2 linked regions of the Alligator mississippiensis genome follow. The protein of the gene in region 1 purifies or fractionates together with the protein of each later gene. This does not show direct contact. Links are inferred from orthologs where the notes say so. Each region holds a gene or a part of one and is shown on either strand. Other genes may lie near its edges. The genes, in order: REXO4 and RRS1.

Region 1 (7,418 bases):
TGAATCCAGCTCCAGATTAAAAGACTCTTAATAATGAAGGCAGCACCAGGTATTCACCAACACCACTAATGAAATTATGGAACTCATTTTCCAACTGCGATGCTACAGCGGCACTCACAGTACTTGCCAAGGCCCTCCTTCATACACATGGCTTTCTCTGTGAGGGTCAGACCCCATGCAAAGCACAGGGCTGCGCCAGCAGGAAACTGCTTTGCACACCACCCAGCCTCCTCGAGAGAGCACTGGGTGCTCCCTACAAATGTCCGTGCAAATGTTTTCAGAAGCTTATGCTACACATGACTGGAGGGCGAGCAAGAAGCCCCTCCAGAGGCTACGCTGAACCCATGACACCACAGAGCCCTAAGATGGTGCACTGAAAACAAAGAGCAAGCTACTCACAATGTTCAGGTTGGTGAGGATATACCTCTCAGTGTCTTCTCTATGGAACTGGTACACATCTGGGCCCGCTGCAACCAGCAGCTCCAGGTGCTTGACAGTCCCTTCAGACCTTTTCCAATGGCGAGGATGAAACTTTTTTTCTATAACACAACAGAGCGAAGGGGAGTTTAGGTAGCAAGAAGACCTGGGGGCTCCTGGGGGCCCATTCCCTTCTGCTGAGCACAAGTCATTCACAAGACTGAAACCAGTGCGGGTAGGAATCTGCAAAGTGCTAGGAGGAAGCTACCCTGGGCAATTTAACATATGCAAGGTGCCCAGGGGCAGCATTAGACTGTCAGTTCCTATGTCAAGGCCAGCACGGCCAATACCTTTTGCTGTCTTTGCCCCTCTCTCTGTGGTTCTGAAGATGAGGTGGGGCTTGAAGAAGCTGAGGTCCTTCAGCAGGCTCCAGTGTTTACTTCTCACAGGCCTGATGTGAATCTTTTCTTCACTTGCAATGATGATGCCTTGCTATAGGAGACAAAGATCCAGCCCTCTGTTATTCCAATGACCTCCAATGCCAATAGCAAGTCACATACAATCTCTCTTCCCGCACTCTCTTATGTCTTATTTCTTTACTTATTTGCCAGTCTTGATATTTTCTTCTGTCTGAAAGCTGGCAACATATACTGCATTGAACTGTAAACTCTTCAAAGCAGCAATGATACATGGTAGGTCTTCTTTCAAGCACCTTCACAGTGCTGTACTAAAGAGCTGAGCGGATCCCAAATCCCAGTGCTGGACTGTAAACCTTGTGAACACTGGGAAAAGCTTGGATTTCAGCCTCTAGCTCAATCTCCCTCCTACCCAGATGAGAATCCCCTTGCAGCCAATGCGACATACTCACCAGCTGTCCTTCGCAGTAACTGACCCTACACACAGCCCCCAAAGGATGCAGTGGTTTTCCCTCTGCAAAGCAGTTGCCTGGGAACCATTTTAGCAAGCTAACAGAAGTGTTCAGCACTCGATGGCTCACAAAGGAAGGGAGAAGGAGATCAGGATCCTCTAGAAATTCAAAGGTGTAGAGCTGTCCCCATGACTGAAGGGAACAGCGTTGGACTTTACAAGCGGTCAGTCCAACCTGGTCTTCTTCACAGGCGCAAGCAGGCTGAACAACAATGAACTCAGGTACTGAAATAAAGAAAGGAAATGACCAAAAAATTACAGGAACCGTTCACAGTGACAACAGACATACAAGGGAAAAGACATGTCATCAATTTGCTTCCATGAAGAACAGCCCTCTCCGGAGAGCTTGTGACCCACCCCTTAAATAATGTCACCAGCCAGAGTCTTTTGTGTTTCTATCTACCCCAAAATTAAGGACGATCATGTTGCTGAAGCATAGACTTGCAGTCACCGGGGAGGTCTCAAGTCTATATTCAGCTTTAAAAGTGATTGCTTGTACTCGAGATTTGTAACCATGCCTTTGTTTCCCCATCTTCTGTAAAACTGGGATAACAGTTTATTTGACAAGGGTCACAATGTTTTTGAGTTTATCAGCTGTCAGGCATTACTTAAGAGTAAATCATCACCATTTAAATACTAACAGCATGCTGGGTACTGGGCAAACAGAGAGAGAGACACAATGTCCCTACCCTTGGAATCCAACAAGCTAAATTCCTTAGTCTTGAATTATCAGCCTAATCTCAAAATATTACTCTAGTCTCCAAAATGTTTCTAAATAAATACAACCATCCTCAGTCCATACACTTGGACCTAGATGATTTGGATCTGTCCCTAGGGTTATCTATAGTCTATAACTCTACCAGTTTTGCATTAAAACAATAAGTTAGCATAAAGCAGAGTTAAATGGAATAATCAAAAGGAATTTCTGACCCATTTTACAGACTACTGAATAAGAGACCCGATTCTTTAGACATTTACACATTAGAGCCAGAACTGCATACATGAGTAAGGTCATTCACACTGAAAGTATCATAAGATCTAGGTTAATGTTAATACAAGGCTCTTCAAATATGCCATATTAGAAACAATTTTAAACATACAATACAATCCAGAATTAAGATAGAAGTAGGCCTGCATACCATCAAGAACTGACTTGGTGCCAAAATAAGAAAAAACATCTTCTGGATCCAAAGCCCTGAGAAATTTCTGCAAAAAGAAAAAAAAATCTTTGCCTTTTCAAGGAAAAAAAATCCATGTAGACACATGACTTTAATTTATCAAAACCTAATTATTAACTTAGATGTTTTACATTTTGATTCAGCTTTTTTGCACTAAGCCTATGGAACACACAGATCATCCAGAGGAAATGATTAGTGAGGTTTCATAGCTTTGGTTTGAACATACATTATGTTATTTTGGGGGGAGGTGGGCAGGGGGGAAGGAGTCACACTTACCTCTTGGAAAGGAGATAGCCAGCCGAAGCCCAAGGGGAACATAGTAAAAGCTAAGATCATAAAGCGGGTGCTCATTGTGGAAGAGCTCACGCTGACACCGCAGAGCAAATACTGGCCTTAGGTTTAGCCTGAGGCATCACATGGAACGGAAGTTAGGAATACACAGAGTTTAAACAAATACAAGAGCTGATCCTCTCCAGGGAGGAGCTGCCAAGGGGATTATTCAGCTGCTGTGAGGCTTTGCAGGAACAGCTGGAGAGAGACAGACAGCTTTTGCGCAATGTTTGCAATTTTACTACAGCCAAAGAGCACGGTAAGACTAGGAAACCCAGGGCCAGTTTTAACAGCCAAGTAAACAAGTAAAGAAGCAACACAGGAAAAGAAAAGCAGCTTTGGAGCATCAAATCTGGGGAAGAGGATCCTTTCCAGCTCCTAAGGGCCAGATCAGCAGCACCCACCCAGATAAAATTTTCACTTACCCCTATTCTAGAGGGAGAGCAAAACACAACTTCGCCGAGTTTGCAAGAGCTGCGCTTAAGGCTCAGTTAACTGATTTAGTACGCGCTCAATTCCCAGCAATTAAAAATAACACGTCAGCCAGACTTTTGTGCTGACTGCAAATGTTACTGTGTGTGTGGATCCACTGGTAAAAATGAACAACTTTGGATGAAGATATAAAAGTGGCAGTGTCTCAGGATGTGCTGAGAGAGGTAGTCCACCACGTTAGCTCGAAGTCAGTCACACGGCAGGGTAAGATATGCACTTTTATAGACTACGTCATTAGAGACAGAGAGCGCACAAGGTTTTGCGAAGCCAAGTTCACTTCGTCAGTGCTGGTCTCATCGGGCATTCAAAACGACCACGAGTCGTCGCCGGCAGCACCGTGGGCTCTACCCTGAGTTTCTAGACTTCTTACTACCCCAGACTTGAGATAGAAATCCGAGGAAACACCCGAGATGTGTCCTCAGTCGGATCGCTAACGTTTTGTGCGTAGCGGCGTACGCTCAGAAATGAACCGGACACGTGAAGAGCAGTCAGCGTTGGCTGGCACAGACCCTAGCTTGCAGCTTTGCGCACCTGCGGCAACTGCCGAGGAGCAGGAAGGAGCACCCAAGCAGCCAGCCGCCTGCCCGCCGCCGGCAAGCGCTCACAAGGCCACAGTTAGGGAGCCACTGGGGAAAACGCTACTGGACTGCCCCACTTCACAATCACACAGCTGCGGCCTCCCACGTCTGGTGGCCTATTGGGGCCTGCACTGACTCGCCCACCTGCCCAGTGTGCTCCTAACTTGGCCCCAATGCAGCCCCCTCCTATAAAATGCAGCCCCAATGCAGCCCTTGCAGCCTCCTCCATCCCCAATGCACCCCTTTCCTGCAAAAATGCAGCCCCTTGCATCCTGCCCCAACACAGCCCCTTGCACTACAACCCCTGCTGCCCCTCCCCCACCCAGCCCCTCCCCGCCCTCAGAGCCACACGGCGCATGCGCGAGAGCCGGAACGGAAGTTGCCGGGGGCCGTTTCCGGCCGGGGGACTATCGGGGCCGGTTTCCGGGCGGGGCAGCGTCGCGTGCTGTCCTCCTCCCGCTGCTTCCGGCCGCGCGGGGCCATGGCGGGCCGGGCCGAGGCCGGGGCGCCGCCGAGGCGGGCCCGGCGGCGGTGGTTCCGGCCGAGGGCGCGGGACGCGGCGGGAGCTCCGAGGCCGGCGCTGGCGCTGGCGCTGGCGCTGCCCCCGAGGGCGGCGCGGGACTTCTCCGCCAACTGGCGGGCGCTGCAGGAGGTGCGGGGCTGGGCCTGGCTCCCTCCTGCTGTGAGACCGAGCGAGCGTCGGAAAAACCACGGACTTTTACATTCAAATGAGTTTTAACCCAAGATCTTGTTATTTCATTTATCTGTTATTTATTTATCTCGTAATTCACATCAGTTTTAAACCAGAAACTTTTTTAATTCTAACTAGTTTTTAAGCTAAGAACTAGTTAACTTCAAAAACCGTCAGCGGGGCTTGGTGGATTTCAGGTGGGAGGACGACGGTAAAGTCGAACGCTCCGGTTAATTGTTGGGTGTTTCTTTAGGTGCTGAAACAGAAGGCGGCTGGCTTGGCGAAATCCCTCCCGGCCCCCGAAACGTCTCCCAAGCCGCGGCGCGCGACGAAAGACGTCGAAGGGATTCCAGCCGTCAATGGCAGCGGGAACACGGTAAAATTCAAGCCTGTAAACCGGACGGAGGGTGGTCCTGGCCAAGCGGGAGCTTCTCCGACGAATGTGAAATCGGAGAGAACTGCGCCGGGCGAGAGCCTGGGCGATGCCCGGAGCAACAGAAAAGAGTTCAAGGCAAAAAGGAAAACCGGCAATAGCGAGACGAAGCAGGGGGACATAAAGCATAAGAAGAGGAAAACGGACGAGCGCGCAGAACAGCCGCCAACGGAGTGAGTGCTTTAAACCTTATGCCCATTTATGTCGGTGCTTTAAACTGTTTTAGTGGCAGCTGAATAACTTGAAATAAAGGATAATACAATGCTGTGCTTCTTGAGGAGGGAAAACCTAATACAATGCTAATACAATGCTGTGCTTCTTAAGGAGGGGAAACCCTCTTTCCTTTATGATGCGTCCACCCAAGTATTTCAGACCCCTTTCCTACTACCAAGTTACTGCATTCTCTTCCTTTCCCTTCCCATTCAGGTAGGGGGGGGTTACAGTTCAAACAACTATTTTGGGGACTTTTTGACTTCAGATTCAGAATTTAGACATTAGACTGCGGAGGCACAGCTCAGGAGGCTCGACTGGATAACAGGAACGGGAAGAAGTCCAAAGACAAGGTATCCCTGAGGAGCCTGGGATAAGAGAGAAGTAAAAACCACTCTGATTAACCCAGTTATTCAAATGTTTGAACAAAACTGTAGTCTGCATGCTCAGGTTGTTGAACTAGTTGGCTCTGACTAGGACTAACTAGGTAACTCCTTTCTTTTGTAAACATCAAGCTTACCCAAACTGTAAACAGCCAAATCGAACAGTATTAAAAAGGTCCTTTTTACCTTTTGCTTACCAGGGATGACATCTGGTTTGATGGGGTTGATCCAGAGGATATTGAAGCAGCAATAGGACCTGAAGCAGCAGAAGTTGCTAGAAGAAAAATGGGACTTGAAAGCACGTCCAAACCAACTGTGGAACAGGTGCTGGTTAAAGAAAAGGCTTTCAGTGGGTAGGTTGTATTTCTAATGCAACAAGTACCAACAGTCTTATCGGAGGCATCAAAAACTTACTCCCATTCTTACAGCTGTGGACAGAGTATGCACAGTGTCTTCCAGAGTCTGCAGAGACTATAGCTGCTCTGTGGTGTTAACTTTTCCGGTTATATTAACGGGTGCCGCACCTGTCAGCGTAGCAGTCAGAAGTACGCAATCTCAGCAAGGGCTTTCTAATCTGCGTGTCCGTTTTCTTCTTTTAGACTCACAAAAGCTGTAGCCATGGACTGTGAAATGATAGGAGTGGGGCCCCAGGGGGAAGACAGCATTGTGGCTCGTGTATCAATCGTGAACCAGTTTGGAAAGTGCGTTTATGACAAATATGTCAAGCCTACAGAAAAGGTGACCGATTACAGGACAGAAGTTAGCGGGATACGGCCTGAGGACACAAAGAAGGGTAAGTAGGTTGGCCTTCCCCAGAACATCCTTAAGAAAAACCTTATGCAACTTACTGAGTTACTGTCAGTGTATCAGGAGCCTGCTGAATTCTATTTTTTGAGCAAGAAATAAAGCACTTGCACAACCTTAATATCTCTAAATATAAAAGAATACTTCAGGGGAGAATGAATAAAAAATTCTGTAAAGATGCAATTTGCCCCAAAAGGCCATTGTTGCCCCAGTAAAAAAAGTAGTTTCTAACACTTGCTTAAATGCAAGCCTAGCATTGGACCAACAAGTGGAAGTTGACTGTTTCAGCTTTTTTGCAAGGCATCTGTCCTGGTCTCCTGTTTTTGCTTCCTCTGAACAAGCAGGGGATGACAAAGTACAAGAATCATGCATTCTTCTGCATCTTGGGTCCTAAGAAAGTGACTTCCACACATGATGGTCTTCTAATGCTCACTCAACTTGCTAAGTTGCTGTGTAATGTCCATGTTGAAACCATTTTTTTATGTTGCATTTTCAGGAGAAGACTTTAAAAAAATTCAGGAGGAGGTGGCTGACATCTTGAGAGGAAGGATTTTAGTTGGACATGCTGTCCACAATGACTTAAAGGTACACATCTCCATAGTTGTTGCTTTGAAGGTAAAACTTCAGTGATTTTTGTTACCCAAGAAAACAGATTAGAAATTTTTAAGCTTAAGGTTGCAGTATCTTAATACCCAGATTCCACCTGTGCTGGACACCATATTGTATAGCAGTCCAATTTGTACAGGTAACAAAGCAGGTGTTCAATATTTCCTTCTAGTCTAGAAACAAACAGCAGGTTGATCAAATTATTTTCATATTTGGGAGTAGCTGTAGCACTGCCTGCAAAGAGCTGCAGTAAGGCAAGGCCCACAGCGTCTTTAATTCAGAGACTAGCGTTCCACTTTGCTCAAGCAGGAGCAATGTGCACAACCGCCTTGTATAGTCTCCATAGGAAGCGCGTCTGTATTGAAGATG
Region 2 (7,245 bases), on another chromosome or scaffold:
TGCCAATTTCAATCTCTGTGAGGAAATAACCTTTGTAATTTCTGTAAAAAAGACTGCTTAAAAGCAAGCTTTTACTTCAAAGAGTACTAAATTAAAATTATGTATCAGTAAAAAGGAATAATTTGAAGAAAGTGCAAGTATTTTAAGGGCCCCTTTTCATCTATTTTACAAAATTACTGGCACATTGAGTTTTCCTGACAACAGTATTCATATAGTTAACTATTCTCACAGCAGTCTTAAGAACTGGTTGAATCATCTTGCAACTATATCTACTGCCATCCAGAGGTAATTGGCAAAAGTTTGGAGAGTAAATCTGTCACTAGAAGAGAGAACATGAATATTATGTATTAACGCAAGAAAAACCCCACAGCATAAAACCGTAAAGTTGTTATCCAGTCCAAGAAAAGCAAAAAAAAAAATATTAAGCTGAATAATCCATTTCTTTTCTTTTTCTTTGAGACAGAAAAAAAAGAAACAGGGTTTTTTTTGCTGTCTTAATCTTGTAGCTCATCTGGAGCCCAGCAAGGAGCTGAATACCTCTTCAGAGATGCAAAGCATCCTTAATTCCCTTTGAAACTATGGCAGCTGCTCAGCAACTTAAAAGATCATGTCCATACTGAACCAGCCTTTCAAGTGAAGTCCCTAAAACAGGATGACTTATTTTTCATTGGTATGTGCATTTCAACATAAAGATTCCCACATAGGTTAAGAATTTCCACATTGGTGCCTAAAGCCAAAAAATAAATTTTGGGATTAAATTAGGCTAGGGCTTATAAAGGGACATAAGAGGTGTACAACTACAATTAACTTTCTGTAGAGTTGGGTACCTAGGAGACCTCTGCAATATATTAGCATAACAAGGTGTGTTTTAAAACTAGTATGATACTTTTCATTTCTACGGCACTCACCTCTATGTATCTATTTTAGGGTTTTGTATTAAGGCTGGAGATCATAGTAGCGAGCTGAAAAAAAAAGATGTATACAGTAGAATCTCCATAGTATCTAAGTACTATCTGAATGTCCCAGAACAATTAAAACAGTAATGAAACTCAACAAGCACCTGTGAAGTAATTATTATTATCCACATTACAGAGATTGAGAAACTAAAGCACAGAGAGATTAAAACCAAATATCTGGTCCAAAGTTAAGGCCCAAGTTTTTGTTCATTAATTCTAAGTACCACCAGCTCATCCTTAGACACTGGTCCTTATTGTACAAGAGCTGAGCACTCTCAAATCTGGCTACAGTCAGTGGGAGCTCTGGGTGCTTATATCTATAAAAAGTATACTCTAGGTTTAAAAAACTCGGCACCCAAAAGATGAGGCAACTAAAATTAGCAGGCACATTTGAAATTCTGACCCCATATAATCTGCCTAAAAGTCCATACGTTTGTCAGAAAAACTGGAACTAAGGTTAGAACTCATATTCCTATCCTTCAACCCCAAGGTTATCCTTTCCTTTTTTTTAATAGGTTAAACATGCCCCTTGGAAGTGCATGGGTTCCTATTCACTTTAAAGGGAATCACGCACGGGCTTTTCTTTGTTTTCTGTTGTGACCCAAATGATTTCTGCTTTCAAATTCTGTTTGGTTTACAAATCTAGTCAATTATCCTTCCAGCTGCCATCACTGCACACACATCCTGATATCACAAAGTCACACTTTGTCCTGTCTGAATCATACATCAACACTAACAATCAGCAGCAATAAAGATTCTAGAGTTAATAACTGCAATTTTGCTGATGATACTTGAAGCAGAGTAGAATAAAGCTTGTTCTCTTCAGTTACATTACATGGGTTCTTCAATGCTAAATGTACTAAAGTTTGATTCTGACAGTAAAATAAGTAGATATAGCTAGCTCCCACACACATGGAACAGGTGTGTAAGAAATCACTGAGCAGTACATCCCAGGGTGAAATTCTGACTCCATGGAAGTCTACAGCAAAACTTACATTGTCTTCAATCAGCCCAGGATTTCACCCAACGCCTTTAAAACATTGACTGCTGCAAATATTGCAGCAGCTCTTTCAGAGCCATTCTGTAAATGCATCTTCAGATAATTTAAAAAATGCATATCACCATCAAACCATGGGTTATTTATTCAATAGACAGTTACAACACACTCTCAAAGCTATTTGTGCTACCACTTCAAAGTGCCATATAATTTTCAGGGTGTGATTTCTGTAAGCAGGAAAAACCCTTGTTAAAATGTCTACAAGTTGCCACAAGTAGTCTTGGTGTTTTACTGTATAATCATGTATAATCATGCTTATAAACACACAGGACCAGTTCCTTGGCTTTAGCTACAAAGCACACAATATAAATCATAGGGCAGATAAAAACAATTATACCAGATAAATTGCTAACCAAAAGAGTTGCCAAAACTGGAGTTACTGTCTTCAGGATCTCCTTTTATTTCTGCTTTTTTCAAATTGATGTATTGTTAGCATGTAAAATCACAAGTGGTATTCACTAGCACACTCTCAGAGCTCTGTGCTGTTGGGCTGTCTAGGGATACAAAGCATCCATATGCTTTGTTAAGACGAGTATATAGCTCCTTGTGCTGTTGGTGCAGCCTAAGACAGAAAGAGTATGCAACTGAAATAGGACCAATATTTACTACTTTACCAGATCAATATAACAGAAAATACCCAGGCTGAACTATAGACAGATAACTCATTGGGCTAGACTCAGAAAAATACAGAACAAAAAGACAATCCCAGCCCTGCAAAAAATTGCAGTCTATGACAAGAGATGGACTAGATGGCCTCCCGAGGTCCCTTCCAATCCCTAACTCTCTATCAATATAGAGTTTAGGAAAATAATGAAAAAATATTCATGAGAATGTGATAGCAATGGAATTTACTTATGCAGCACAAAAGTCTAAAAAATTCTCATGTGTCTCTAAAATAATGGTCTCAAGTCCCGTCTTGTAAAAGATTAGCAGAACTGTCTTTAAAGTCACTGGTATCTGTAATTCTAGATGATCACATCAGTTGTCCAAGAGAGTGAACTAAATAATTTCTAATATGCTACCATCTTGTGGTAACTGAGAAAATAATCTAGCCAGGTTGATCTGTTTTTAAATGCTTTGGCAATTTCTTATGCTATATTATGAGTCACCATCAGATGGTATATGTTGTTTGTTTTGTTTTAAAAGAACACCCCATCATAACTACAGATGTTATAATGATGGAGGTATTATGCCAAATAGTTTTATGCGGGAGATGTGAAACACTACATCTTAGAACTTGAGAGCCACTGTTTGATTTATAAGCGGGAAAAGAAATTGCCTAAGAACAACATAAACATTATAGATGCGACATTAGACAGAATCTTTTCCTCTGTGAAATGAGAATGATTTCTTCCCTTTCTCAAAACATTATGAAAGGCCAGTACATTTAATCATACTAACAACCTGGTGCCCACAGTCGTCCTCATCACATATACCAGGTCTAAGCTGCCAAGCTCTGTGGTGATGAGTTCTACAACTTAAATTACATGCTGTGTTACAAAAATATTTCCTTCTTATCAGTTTTAACTGTGTTGCTTTTGAATGGCATTAGACATCTTTCGATATCATGGGGGAGAGAGGTAACTACACGAATAGTCCGTGTATTTTCCCAGTAGAATTCACTGACATGTCTCCTAACACGTATCACCTCTTTTAATTGAAGTCTTAATCTTCGGGGGGGGGGGGAGGGAGAAGAAGGGAGAAGTGGAAGGGGAAGGGGGTTGTTTTGGGCTTTTTCATGACCACAGAAGTCCCTCAGTTTGCAGATAATCTCTACCACGGCTCCTTGATGGGTCTTGAGATGACTTAAGAGTCTGATCCTACAGCCACAAACCCATTCACGGAAGTTGCAGGTCTTTCTTCAGGGTACGGAAAGCCCTAGGCCAAGATGTCTCTCCTTTTCCTGCCCCGCCTTCACACATCTGGCATAATTTTTCCCGCCCAGCTCCTATTTCTGCTGTAGCTTCCCTGGGACTTAAGGATTACAAAGGTAGCATAGAAGCCTCCCCTCACCACCACCACCTTGCATTGCAGTGGCAGCGGAAGTGGTAGTGCGCAGGCTCTGCTGCCCCATCCCCTGCTCACTGGTGCAGGAGCAGGACCCCGAGATGGACCAGAGGGACAAACCTGAGCTGTCCCAGCCTCAACAGCCGCACCTGCTTGGTGAGAAAAAAAAAAATCTGAACTAAGGGGCGGTGGGCAGGGGGCCCTCAGGCAGCAGGGCCACAACAGCAGGTGCCTCAGCATTGCCAGGTGTTCAATATGAAATTATCGTATTGGGAGCTCAAAATGATTGTATTTTCTGAAAAACTATCATACACTGAAAAATAATGAAATAAGTATGCAAATAACTCTTCTTCTTTTTTACTTACTATTGCTCACTGTTAAACTGCTGTGAGTGAGAGAGACCTGGATCATCAAAGTTGAAACATTTCTTTTTTTCAAGGCAAACAGCCAGAAGAGAGTGTCGACAGCAGCCCCGACTCAGCTAAGACTTCCTGAGCATGACTTGGTGCATATGCTGCATCAATTAGTTGCCTCAATAATCGTCCTACATTTTGAACACTTTTACTATTACTGATTGTACACTGCACAAGGGCTGAAATGATTGTACAAAACCGATCATTATCGTACGCCTGGTAACACTGGGGTGCTTCTGCTATACAGGGCCTGGCGCCCAACGCTGGGGGCGGTGAGGAGGGCGCTGCTACAAGGGGTGCCGCAGTACCGCGGGGAGGGGGAAGGAACTACGAACCCCAGCATGCAACGCGCCGCCCGCCCCCCTGCCGCCGGGCTCCGCGCGGGGCATTCTGGGCAATGCAGTCCCGCGCTGCTTACACTCATCCGGTGCCTTGACCCGGAAGCGGCCCTTTCCCGGCCACTCGCACGTGGAGCCATGGCGGCCCCGCGCGCGGAGGAGCTGCTGGCGGGCGTGGAGCCGGCGGCCCTGCCGGCGCGGAGCCTGGTGGTGCACAAGGAGCTGGAGCTGGACTTCGACCTGGGCAACCTGCTGGCGCGGGACGGCAACCCGCCACCCCGCGCCGCCGCCGCCGCCCAGCGGGAGGCCGCACTGCGGGCGCTGGCGCGGGACAACGCGCAGCTGCTGGCGGCCGAGCTGTGGGCGCTGCCGGCGCGGCGGCCCGAGGGGGAGGCGGCGGGGCCTCTGCTGGCCGAGCTGCCGCCGCCCGCCACCCGCCTGCCCCGCGAGAAGCCGCCGCCGCGCCCGCGGCCGCCCACGCGCTGGGAGCGCTTCGCGCAACTCAAGGGCATCCGACGGCGTAAGCGGCCCTCGCTTGTGTGGGACGCGGCGGCCGGCGATTGGCGGCGGCGCTGGGGCTACGGGCGGGCGGGCGGCGACCCGGCGCGGGCGTGGCTGGCCGAGGTGCCGCCCGGGGCTGACCCGCTCCAGGACCAGCTGGGACGGCAGCGGCGGGAGAAGCGCGAGCGCGTGGCGCGCAACGAGTTCAGCCGCCTGCGCAACCTGGCACGTGCCAGCAGCTTCCACCCCACTGGCCACCAGGGCCGCCAGGAGCTGGGCCGTGCCGCCTGCCTGGCCCGTGCCTCCACCGCCTCGCTCGGCCGCTTCCAGCCGCGCCTGCCCCGGGAGTCGCCTCTGCCCCTGCCACGCAGCGCTGGCAGCGGCAAGAAGAAGCGGCGCTTCGCACCTCTGCTGGGGGACCTGGCGGCCGAGCGCGGGCGGCAGCTGGAGTTGGTGCGCACGCTGGCCAAGCCACCACCACTGGACGTGGCGCGCGCCACCAACAAGCAGCTGCGCCAGGAGGACGCCGAGGTGGCATCAACGAGTCGCGCCAAGGGCCGCAAGCGCAGCGAGCGTGGAAAACGGGCACGAGGGCGGGGCACCCCCCAGCAGCGCCGCCGGGGGCAGCAGAAGCAGCAGCGCCCGGCTGGGGGCAAGAGGAGGAAGCGCTGAGCATGGCCTGGGCCCTGCCTGGGATTCCCCCCCACCCTCGTGTGTCTGGGGGAGGGCAATCTCTCCCAGCCCAGAGTGGAGCTGGGGTACCCCCCAAGAGACAGGGCACAGGCCTGAGCCAGAAGGACTTGCTCCCCATTTATATGACAGGACCCCATTCTCGTTTGTCTTCTTGTGGCTGCGCTCAGAGGCTGGAGATGCTTTAGCAGGACTGACTGGTTACAAACAGCACAATAGACATGGGCATTTGCTTTTGAGAGGGTTTCTGGGACTGCGTTGTGGAAGGACTTAAAGAGGGTTGTTCCATGTGTTAAATGAGCCATTGAAAGTCAGCGGCTGTTTCCAAGCTTACTTTTTTGCTAAGCAGCCTAAGTATGTTCCTCCAACTCTGTCACCCCTTCATCTTTTCTCCAAGCTATCCCAGATGGGTTTGGTTTATTTTGTGTTCTGCCCTCTATTAAAATTGTAAGAGCTATAAAAATACTGCAGGTCCAAAGTGTCTCTTTCTCATGGCCTAGAAAAGCAGAGATGGGTCTGAACAAGAAAAAGTTCACTGTGTGTATGCAATTCCTTTCTGTGCTGCTGAAATGTAGACCAAAGGTTGTGAGGAATCACTTTCTAGAATTGCTCCCTACTGTGAGAAGGATGTTGCAATAAATGAAGATTTTGTGGTTTGGGGTTTGTTTTTTTTAAATGAGGTGAGTAAAGTTCTGGCTTATTTAATTGAATTGACTACGTGCATTGGGGAGAGTTAACATGTCTCAGAACATTAATACTGTACTAACTGGTATTATCTAACTAAAAATGTGGCACAATTAACATTTAAGATTGGGTAGATAAAACAGCAACTTGGAACAGTCAGAAGTTGCTGTTAGAAGGGAAGATGACTGGTACTAGAGCAGGGCTGGGCAATTATTTCGGGTGGAGGGCCGCTTACCCAGTTTTGGCAAGCCGTTGAAGGCCGCAGGGGTAGTCCCACCCCTTGACAGGTGCCCTGCCCCCTGGTCACCATCTTGGGACCAATGTCTCAGGGCCACTACAGGCAGGGAGCAGGCTGGTAGAGGTCTGTGGAGCTGGGCTGGGCTGCACCGACAGGGAGAGGGGGGAGCTGGCCCTGCTCCATAGAGCCCCTGCCAGCCAGGACCCTATACTCCTGCTGCCCTGGTGTAGGCCCCCTGCTCCCTCTGGCTCTTGCACCCTCTCACTCCCAGTGCCCAACTCAGCCCTGTGGTACAGGCAGGGGGTAGCGCACAGCCCCGACCTGGCGCTTGCTGGCAGGGAACAAGCTGGTGCTGAGCATG

What was found.
Region 2: the proteins of REXO4 (region 1) and RRS1 purify together in Homo sapiens (co-immunoprecipitation; 3 studies listed by BioGRID and IntAct, with this or other methods). This does not show direct contact. The link is inferred for Alligator mississippiensis from reciprocal best matches to the Homo sapiens genes REXO4 and RRS1.

What each region holds. Positions count from the first base shown.
Region 1 is NC_081835.1:60,923,817-60,931,234, reverse strand, and holds the start of REXO4 (RNA exonuclease 4), read left to right. Parts: upstream 1-4,388; 5' UTR 4,389-4,403; coding exon 4,404-4,574; intron 4,575-4,866; coding exon 4,867-5,219; intron 5,220-5,839; coding exon 5,840-5,992; intron 5,993-6,238; coding exon 6,239-6,432; intron 6,433-6,939; coding exon 6,940-7,028; intron 7,029-7,418. Other genes in the region: ADAMTS13 (A disintegrin and metalloproteinase with thrombospondin motifs 13), read right to left, coding at 400-539, 768-909, 1,286-1,569, 2,484-2,550, 2,799-2,873.
Region 2 is NC_081826.1:64,239,099-64,246,343, reverse strand, and holds RRS1 (ribosome biogenesis regulatory protein homolog), read left to right. Parts: upstream 1-4,847; 5' UTR 4,848-4,909; coding exon 4,910-5,944; 3' UTR 5,945-6,618; downstream 6,619-7,245. UniProt on the Homo sapiens protein: Involved in ribosomal large subunit assembly. May regulate the localization of the 5S RNP/5S ribonucleoprotein particle to the nucleolus.